Schizosaccharomyces pombe: one gene and its partner. The protein of the gene in region 1 purifies or fractionates together with the protein of each later gene. This does not show direct contact. Each region holds a gene or a part of one and is shown on either strand. Other genes may lie near its edges.

What was found. Proteins that work in one complex are often made in the same cells at the same time.
Region 2: the proteins of dre4 (region 1) and cwf26 purify together in Schizosaccharomyces pombe (affinity purification with mass spectrometry, with the first as the bait; one large-scale study listed by BioGRID). This does not show direct contact.

The regions. Positions count from the first base shown.
Region 1 is NC_003424.3:423,395-428,906, reverse strand, and holds dre4 (splicing-associated factor Dre4), read right to left. Parts: upstream 2,930-5,512; 5' UTR 2,878-2,929; coding exon 2,838-2,877; exon of another isoform or gene 2,802-2,837; coding exon 2,585-2,801; exon of another isoform or gene 2,544-2,584; coding exon 1,565-2,543; 3' UTR 1,492-1,564; downstream 1-1,491. Other genes in the region: nuclear membrane protein Tht1, read right to left, coding at 1-254, 317-921, 964-1,324; pre9 (proteasome core particle subunit alpha 3), read left to right, coding at 3,684-4,430; RhoGEF Gef2, read right to left, coding at 5,004-5,512. UniProt on the Schizosaccharomyces pombe protein: Component of the spliceosome involved in mRNA processing.
Region 2 is NC_003421.2:2,161,703-2,165,961, reverse strand, and holds cwf26 (protein Cwf26), read right to left. Parts: upstream 2,750-4,259; 5' UTR 2,743-2,749; coding exon 1,844-2,742; intron 1,804-1,843; coding exon 1,797-1,803; 3' UTR 1,457-1,796; downstream 1-1,456. Other genes in the region: nuclear pore complex component nup97, read right to left, coding at 1-687, 737-930; transcription factor TFIIF complex alpha subunit Tfg1, read left to right, coding at 2,839-3,378, 3,462-3,557, 3,599-4,259. UniProt on the Schizosaccharomyces pombe protein: Involved in mRNA splicing.

The DNA of each region.
Region 1 (5,512 bases):
AAGGAGCCGAATACAATAATCGGTCGGCGATGTATTTTTAAAACTTTGAAAAATAAACTGCTTAAGGTAGCGAACAGCGTGAAGCCTATAAAAGCAAAACTGCTAATAATGTTGGACAATCCTTTAAAATATACATTCATAAACTTCTCAACAATGTCAATAAGAGGCCTTAACTGTTGAAGTACCTTAAGGTGATCTTTACTGACATTTAAGAAGTCTGACTTCCATTGAAGTATCTGTTCGTGTTGCAAATTCTATACAGTACTGTTAGACAAAGCAATAACGATGAATATAAAAACCATTAAGTAAAACTAACCTGTTGCTCAGAGGATAAACGTTTCAATGATTGAAGCTCCTCTTTCAATTGAATTGTAAGATCGTATAACGGTTGAAAACCTGAGTTAACAAAATCGATGTTGGATTGCACTGATTGCTGTAATGAATCCTCGGTTGTAGTAATTAAATTTTTTATCCTTTTTTCCATAAAAGCAGAGAACTCACTGGTATATTTGCCGATAGCGGAAAGAGCAATTGCATTTTCTGAGGTAAACTTTTCATTCAATTTTTCAATTAAACTATTGGAATAACCAGCACTTTCTTCAATAAAATTAGCGAAAAAGGAGTTTATATCAAATATTTCCGATTTTAGTTGTTTGATTGTACTTAGTATTTCTTTTTGTTGTACCATTCCTTCCTGTTGATGGTTTTGCAATTCGACTAAGCCCATAATTTCTTGGTTGACACGAAAGTTGATATCTTTGAAAGAATTTTCGATAACTGAATTAAATTTTCCATCAAACTTATCAATACGTTGATTCATTTTATCTGTCACGCTCTCAAAGTTTCGCAAATGCAAAATTACCATTTCCAAAAATTGCTTTTGCACAAGAGTTACATTCATATTCACCTCGATTGATAATTCTTGTTATATTGTTAGTTTGTTAGAGTTTATTTAAAGTTTACCTTTTTGCATTTCCAGATTTGCTAACCGGCATAAGTGATTTACATCATGAAAGTGACTAGTGAATGAAAGCCACCAGGTAGAAGTTGACTCCAACTTCGATACACATTCACTTTGCGAGCCACGAACGCATTCTGAAGGAGCCAAAATTTGAGACCGTTCAAAATCGCAAAGAGTCATTTGAATGGCTGAGTGAATTCGATTATCGATAGTCAACTCAGTATTCAATAAGCTACATTTGGAAATTAAAGTTGCAGCAACTTCCTGATAGCAAGTGGATTTTTTCAAGAGTGCTTGATATACGTGAGCTAAAGAATCAAAACCGGCTAACCCCTCGGAAAAGGCCACATTCGAATATTTCATAAATGATTCTACATCTCCGGTAGACTCACTAGTAAAGAAAAAAGAAATAATAATAAAAAACTCGAAATATAACCCAAAGGACGCGTCGGATGAAATTTCATAATTGTAGTAGATGGTAAACAAAGAAACTCACCCGTCGACAAACTACTTGCTTAAAAGAGTACGCGAAAAAAAATAATTTTTTTCCAAATAAATTAATAAATGAGAAATTCTCTAAGCACCTATTTAATAAAAAATTCATTAATTACTTGAACAAGCCAAGGAATCCAGTTCTTCACGCGTCAGTACGGCATATCGTGTGTCATTAAGTATGCTTTCTGTGAATTCGTCGGGGTTTTTAGGATCTACAGTTTTTGACTTGCATAGCTTTTTAAAATTTAACAGTTTGTCCTGCATAGGCTGTTTTCGTAGAATCTGAAACTCACGGAAAAGTTTCTCAAAATCACGTTCCGAATATCCTGGAATTTGAAGAGTCGACGACTTTCTATATTTACGTTTAAATTGAGGCCATAGCAAGGTAGATGGAAGTGAATGAAGCAAAGTCCAAAAATCCGATAAGGTATTTTTTCTACGCGTAATTTTTTTGGTAGAAACCACCGACTTGCAATATTCCTCAAACACCTCTTTTCGTCTCTCTCCCGAATCTAATACGTAAAAACGATCATCGTCTAATAACTTTGGATAAACTAGTTCCCACGGTTGGTATGCCCCGATGTTTTTGTCCTTCAAAAGTTCAGTAAATACTCTTCTAGCATCATCAGTAGATAAATTTGTAGCTTGTTCCTGTATATCATAGGAAACTGTTTCATCATCCAATTGTTGAAGTTGATACATAATATCTTCCTCACCAAACTCCAACTCTTCAGCGGAGTGTGATTTTTCCTCATCCTCTTCTTCATCAGATTTTTCATAAAATTCTTCAGAATATAAAACGGATTCCTCCGATGATTCTTCTAAACCAGAGGGCTCTTCAATCTCTGTTTGTAAATGCCTAGATTCATGTATTTCTTCGTGGTTGGTTTTACCACTATCAACGTTCTGACTCTGTGAGGAATCTTTACTGATTTGCTTCCGTATCGGAAGACGTAATATCTTCAAGTCTTTACTAATTTCCAAAGGAGGTTCCCAATATGATTCATGGCTTTTTAAATTGTGAAAGAAATACCGATTTTTCTTAGTAAAAACAACCACCCATGAATCATTATTAGGAATTCTTTTTCTAAAAAAAAAGTTAATAACAAAATTTTACGCCTCACATACTTGAATTTTGGTCTGTCCGGTAATTGTTTCCTCAAATCTCGAGAATTTTTGCGCTCTTCAGCATTTTCATTAACAAACAGCTTTTCGCTTGTGTTAAACGCCAAAGAAGCTTGCGAAGCAGTAACAGAAGATGAATGGTTTTTCTCAATGAAACTTGGGCGCTGGTAAGTGCTTTTTTTTAACTCGGCATTCCAGTAATAAGGAATCCCACTGGGTGCTATGAGTTAGCAAATAAACTGCTCATTAAATTTACCTTTATGTTCAGTCCATCCAGGAGGCAAAGGCTGTGACATTAAGATATGTACAATCAAGAAGTTAAGTTCGACACTATGTTAGGTAGTATTCAGTGGGCGTGTGTGTGAGAATAGATAGAACAGTTTTGCAAAATCCAGCTGAATAGTTATGTCAATTACAAAAAAATTTCTACAAACTATTAAAAAAAATCTGTATAAATTGCATAAATTCATAGGTGTAGTTAACATTATTGAATATACTACAAAAACCTCATAACAGCACCGCACGTAGCGTCTTCCCAAGTATTTCCTTTAGAACAAATAAGAAGTTAATGAAATGGTCTACCAAGTACAATATAATAAAACATTTTCGAGAACTTCAATTTTAATATTGTCAATTTACAACAACCCGCATAAATTTACGAGCAATTCATAACTCGTGGTAAATCGTTAAACGGCAGGCTGGAAGTATTTGTAAGCAGCTACATTTTTACACTAGTATTGACTCCTCTGGTTCAAATATTTTTACAAGCAGATTTTAATTATTAGCAACCTACACTGATAACTTTATATCTTGAGGATATGAAAGTACTAAAGGTAAATTGATTATCGTAAAAATAGCTCTCATTTATAAAGACATTTGTTGTACAGCATAGCTTGTAAAAATAAGCGGATTAACAACATACTAATTTAAATCATAATAGATTAATTGTATTAGAAGACAGGTAAAAGTCAGTCCTGTTATAGTAGTGTAGTAAGCACATAAAGAATAAAGCAAGTGTGGTAATCGCACTTCGGTAGACCTCATTAATGTTCGTGATCTAGTGCTTCGCGCATTTTCGAACTTGTCATCAACCAAATTCATTATGTCAAGAAGCTACGATTCTCGCACGACTATTTTTTCACCTGAAGGTCGTTTATACCAGGTTGAATATGCATTGGAAGCGATCAACCATGCTGGCGTTGCTTTAGGGATTGTAGCTAAAGATGGAATTGTTTTAGCTGCTGAAAAGAAGGTTACCAGCAAACTATTAGAACAAGAAGAATCCGCAGAAAAGTTATATCATATAGGAGACAATATGTTATGTGCTGTGGCAGGGCTTACCGCAGATGCAAACATCCTAATTAACTACGCTAGAAGGGTTGGGCAACAATACTTGCAGACTTTTAATGAAGAGATGCCTTGTGAGCAATTAGTTCGTCGCGTTTGTGACCTCAAACAAGGTTATACACAGTATGGTGGGCTACGTCCATTCGGTGTTTCATTCTTATATGCTGGATGGGATCATATTCGTGGATATCAGCTATTCCAATCTAATCCATCTGGAAATTACGGAAGCTGGCAAGCAAATAGTATCGGAGGAAATAGTACTAGTGTTCAAAGCTTAATGCGACAGGAGTATAAGGATGATATAAACTTAGATGAGGCTTCTGCTATGGCCGTGAAATTTTTGAGTAAAACGTTGGACAGTAACTCCCTAACTCATGAAAAAATTGAATTTGCAACAATAACAAAGGATACCACGAAAAACAAAATGGTTTGCAAAATATGGAAGTCAGATGAAATAAATGAAGTGCTCAATAAGTACCAAGAGACCCAGCGGCAATCTTAATATTGCCTTACTCAATTCATTGGGAAAACACTTTAAGTGTATAGCTGTTTTTTATAGCTTTCGTCGTTACCCTTTAATCTCCTTGTAATTAGCTCATGGTTTTTGTAAACAATTTGAAGCAAACTAAGTTCCATCATGAGCCTTATTCCGTCTCAATATAGGCTTGCTTTCTTTTTATCTACGCTAAATCATTATCTTATGAATTCTTATGCCGTTTTAAAAAAGGCTTTTTTCAAGTTTCTTTTATACTTAGACCTTTCTTTCTCATTCCCTTCATAACGTCAATTTCTACTTGAGTACACCATTCCGGCATATTTAAAATTATAGTATTTCCAATGGAATGTCAATGACTCTCATATGTTCTAAACTATATGCTTAGTTTTCATAACTGAAGATTTTAAACGGTGTAGCATATTCCAATTCTATACTATTTATAAAAATAAGAGAAAACTTTTTGATGAGTATTATTAACTTTCACTTACATATTGAAGGATAAAAAAAATAACTATTGATATCTAAAAAAGGAATAGTAAAACAAATAATCTAATAATCGATGTAGTATAGACTAGTTGGCTATATAAATATGTTGGTTTGACAACCTTCCTTAGCGTTTAGCTTGGATTCATACTCTTCAAGAGTCCACTTTGCGGTATCTAGTTCACATTGTTTTCTAATTAAACTGGCTTGAACTGATTGCTTTATAAGCTTAAGATCATGGTTGAAGCGATCATACAACAGAGGGATAGACTTTTTAGAATCTTCATTTAATCGAGTCATTTGAGCCAACCTTGCAAGAGTCAGATGATATTTGCGTCGTAAATCCTCGTATGCCTCTCGTTCTATTTGACCAGGTAAAATTTCCTTAGGGTGTCTTTCCGGCATTTCTTTCATGGCAATTGCTTGGAATTTCGATTCATCTAACTGTTTATCATTATTGGAATTCGCAGGGGAAACCGGAGTCGGCAATTCCTCTACTGTTCCAAAAATGCGATCACTGTGGTATGCAAGGTAATAAACAAGTTCTACAGCATTACTTCCAAACATGGAAGGAGCCAAGGCAATTGCTAGTTGTTTCGTAACAA
Region 2 (4,259 bases), on another chromosome or scaffold:
GAAGGAACACCGCCTACCAAAGCAGCCTGGGGGGTTTTTGCAATTTCCTTATTCAAAACTTCAAAAAATTGAGCTTCAAGGAACTTACGGGAACAGTCAGAAATCCTTTGATAGAACCGAGAGTTAACCGAGCCATCCTCAGTCTCAATGTCAAAGGCTTTTGAGATTATGCCTTTATTGCCAAACACTGTCACAGAATCCTTATCCAATATAACAGAGGAAAGTAACTTCCAGGATTCGTAAAGGAGAAGAGACTTTGTATCATGAGCAAATTCTCTTGCAACCTCACAAAAAGAACTGACAAGCTTTGATTGAAATCCGTGCAGTGCTTCCTCCTCAAGACACATTTTTAAAGTGGAAGCAAACTTCTGCGAACGTTGCACCGAGAAAGGATAAAAGGATACTCTCTTTTTATTTTCAAGTAAAATATTATCAAAGGAGGGTCTGCTTTTTGCAGCTTTGGAACGCCATTCCTCTTCCAAATATTGATCGAACGCTATTTGGGTGTTTTGTACCAATGCTTCCAAAGAATTTAAAACATTTTTTTCTCGATGATACTTCAAAAACATATCTACATCGGTAAAGGACAACTCGAGAGTAGTGGGAGGTCTTACTTGTAGAGAGAGCGACTCAATTTTCTTCCATGTTTGTTCGGCATTAATACCGCTTCCAGCAAGCAAATAATGGCTATATCGTTCATTAGACAAATATATCTAATAGGATACAAATAACTTACGCTTTTGTATTACCATCCTTACTAGTAGGAACGGTGTTCAAGTAATGTTTTGCGCGTTGTTCAATCTCACCCAAATTGAACTGGATAAACGGAAGACATGGTTCCAACAACTCATTAGCAAGTTTACGAGACTTTTGATCTAAAAAAGGTATGCCTCTAGCTTCCTTTGGTGAATCGTCAGACGCAACCGTCATGGCGATGGTCAAGATGTAAACAAGCACAATGCGTTTGAGAGAATCTGTCTCGGTGAACTAAGGAAATTGAAGTCACCGAGTTCACCGAACCTTAATTGTTAAAAACAATATTTCATACTAAACAGGTCAACAGTAAAACGTTAAAGAGTATTTGAATCATCCTTGTACTCGGTTGGAATTACAAATTCTTATGCAAAAAGCTTTGCTTTACGTATACAGCAAGTGTGAAGTCAAGTCTGTCTATGTGGATGTGAAAGGGCTTAAAAAGTATAAAATTAAAAATTTTAAAATACTATTTTCAAACATCGATTGTTCTCGTTTAGCTCTTACTATCATTTAAAAGCCAATACATATGAATTCACAGAATCAGCAGTGAATTATTTGGGCCCTTAGGGACAGCAATAGGGAAATGATATTTAATATTGGTAAAAAGTGTTCAGAATTTAGAGAAATAACTGAATGGATGATATTTCAAACCCTCTTACTACTAACAGCCGTGGTCGCTCATACTCATACGTTTAATGACCCATAATTGAATATAGGATTAAGAAATCGTCAGAAATTTAAAAATAAATATATATAAACTAGCAAAAAATATTTTAGTATAGATAAGGCTACCATTGTCTCGTGGTGTGCGATTTCCCAATAAAGCTATTTGCTATAAGCGTTTTGCTTTTGTAGGTAAATATCAAAGCCATTAGTTAATTAAAGGAAATGGGACAGAATCTGGAAAATCAAGTATTGTGCCTCGGTTGACACTCGTAAACTAGAAGAGATTATGTTCAACTCGCATTACAATATCATATACATGAAACCAAATAGTCTCCTCCATTTTCAGCAGAAGAAATAATGAAATCGTTAAATATTTACATGCTGATTTCGTTAGAGATTTATTCAAAAACTGATTACTTACTCCTCAATTGCCCACATATGTGCCTCGTGTTCTTGTGCCTTTCTCTCATTTTGGCGCTGAAACCATTTATTTTCAAATCCATTACCACGAATAATTCCATCCCAACGATGGCCAGGTCGTATATTAAACCTATTGGGAGGCGCATATCCTTGATAAGTAGCTTTTGATGATACAGGTTTATTAGTGAGAAACGAAGCAGCTGGGTCATTCCAACGAGACCTTTCTTTCAATTCCTTATTGTATTCAGGATCGTCCTCATAACGCGCCAATGGCACCGTTTTTTGCCTTTCAAGTTCTTTTAGGTATTCTTTCTGTTGACGCACTTGAACCACACCTTGTTGTTGTTCCTTCTGTCTTCTAGCTTCTTCCTCTTTCTCTTTTAATTTTCTTTTGGCTTCTTTTCTTGCAAGAACCAGATCTATCCTTCTCCCTGTGGCATCTCTGTAAACAGTTTCGCGACTTTTGCGAAGCTCTTCCTCATCAAGATTGGATGATTTCTCTTCTCTCTTTCTTCTTTCTTCAGCTTTAAAGGTCACCTGCTTTCCAGTTAACAGACCGAACTGAGGAATTGATTCAGCATCATGAGAATCCTGTTGTTCAGATTCGACAACTTCATCATTCCCCACAGCTTTCCACAACTGAGCAGGTTTATTAGTAGTTTTTTCTATATTCTGATAAATAGCATCAATATCTCGATCTTTAAGGCTTTCATTTGCGACAATTGTAGGGGCATCATGCAAAGATGTGAGTTCTCTGTTGACTAGTGAAAATGAATTGTCATCGTCCCATCCAGCGACATCTTCATCCTGAATTTCTACAAAATCCTTCTCTTTCTTCTTTTTCTTTTTCCCTTGATCTTTTCGTAAATACTTTTTAGCAATATAGTCGGCGTTTGACATATGTGCTGAATGCATATTTTCTTACCTGAGCGCTTCTTAACTCGCTACCTTCCAACACCGGCGGAAGATCAGTATTGACATATTTTATCGGAGAACATGGATTCACAAGAGACAAAAGTTTTTGAAAATGTAAAGCAGGAAAATCCTGATGAGAAGAAACCCAAAGTTGAGGAGCCTGACTCCCAAAATAATGCTTCGACACAATCGCAGCAAAAATTTTTGGATTTCCAGCTTTCATGGTGTCCAGAGAGTGAAAGAAAAACAACTAAATACCATTTATTAAAATTTCACTCTAACAAAGCCATTGATCCTTCCAAATCCTTTGTGCCACCCATAAAAATGCAACGCAGAGACCCCAATGCTCCATCTTCGTCAAACGGAGAACAAAATGCAGAACAAGGAAGCTCCAGTAACGTGAACATCGCTTCAATCGCTCCTTACGGTGGCGCTCAAAACATGAAGCAGAATGCCTTTAAAAGGAAAACTCGCCAGGTCGTCAAAGTTGATCCACAGGCCCGCAGACTACAAGAGGAGGAGTTATCTCCTTGGATTATGGAAGATTTTGAAGGAAAAAACACATGGGTTAGTACGATGGAAGGCGGCCAATCGTCTGCATATGTATTGTTCATGTTCTCTGTAAGTTTTTATCCCATTTGAAGATGTTGGATGTTTATCATTCATCTTTTGATCATTTAAGATTTTTTATGCTTACTCTATAGGAAAATGGTTTTAAGGTGATTCCAACTGATAGATTTTATCGATTTAATCAACGTAACAATTTCCAAACGCTTTCAATTGATGAAGCGGAGGCAAAGGTCAGTCCTTATTTCCATCAGGTCTTGTCTAACCCATTTAGATGAATAAAAAAACTCCGATTCCTCGCTGGTTTATGAAAAAGGAGAGTGAAGAAAACTTAGCAGAGGCAGGCTCTGCTTCACCCATGTATAAACTTAAGACGGTTCCAAATGCACGTCCTGTAACGGGACCGAGAGCTAGTGGAAGTGATGATGAACTAGATTATGACGAGGAATTCGCTGACGATGAAGAAGCACCTATTATGGAAGGAAATGAAGAAGATAATAAGAAGTTGAAAGACAAGATTAAAAAGGAAATGCTAACTGCCAATTTGTTTGGTGAAGCTGATCAAGATGTCGACCTTGAAGAGGAGAATGATAGACAAATGTCGCGTGAAGGAAAAAAGCTGCAAAGATACTTAAAATTGCTTGAAAAGAATTTAGCTTATGAGAGTGATGAGGAAGATGAGGACCCTTATGCTTCCTCCCATGATGCGTCTAGTGAAGAAGAAGTTTTGCAAGAAGAAGAAGAATTGCAAAAGCGTGAAGAAAAACTAAAGTCTAGATTTTCTGCGAACGCTTCCAAAACTAATACACCAAGACCACTAGAACGAACGCCAAGCAGCGTATCTCCTGTCAAAGCTTCATCGCAACTACAATCACCTAATACTTCTATTCAAATAAGGCCTCAAGAACAACTTATTAACAAACCTGGATATATAA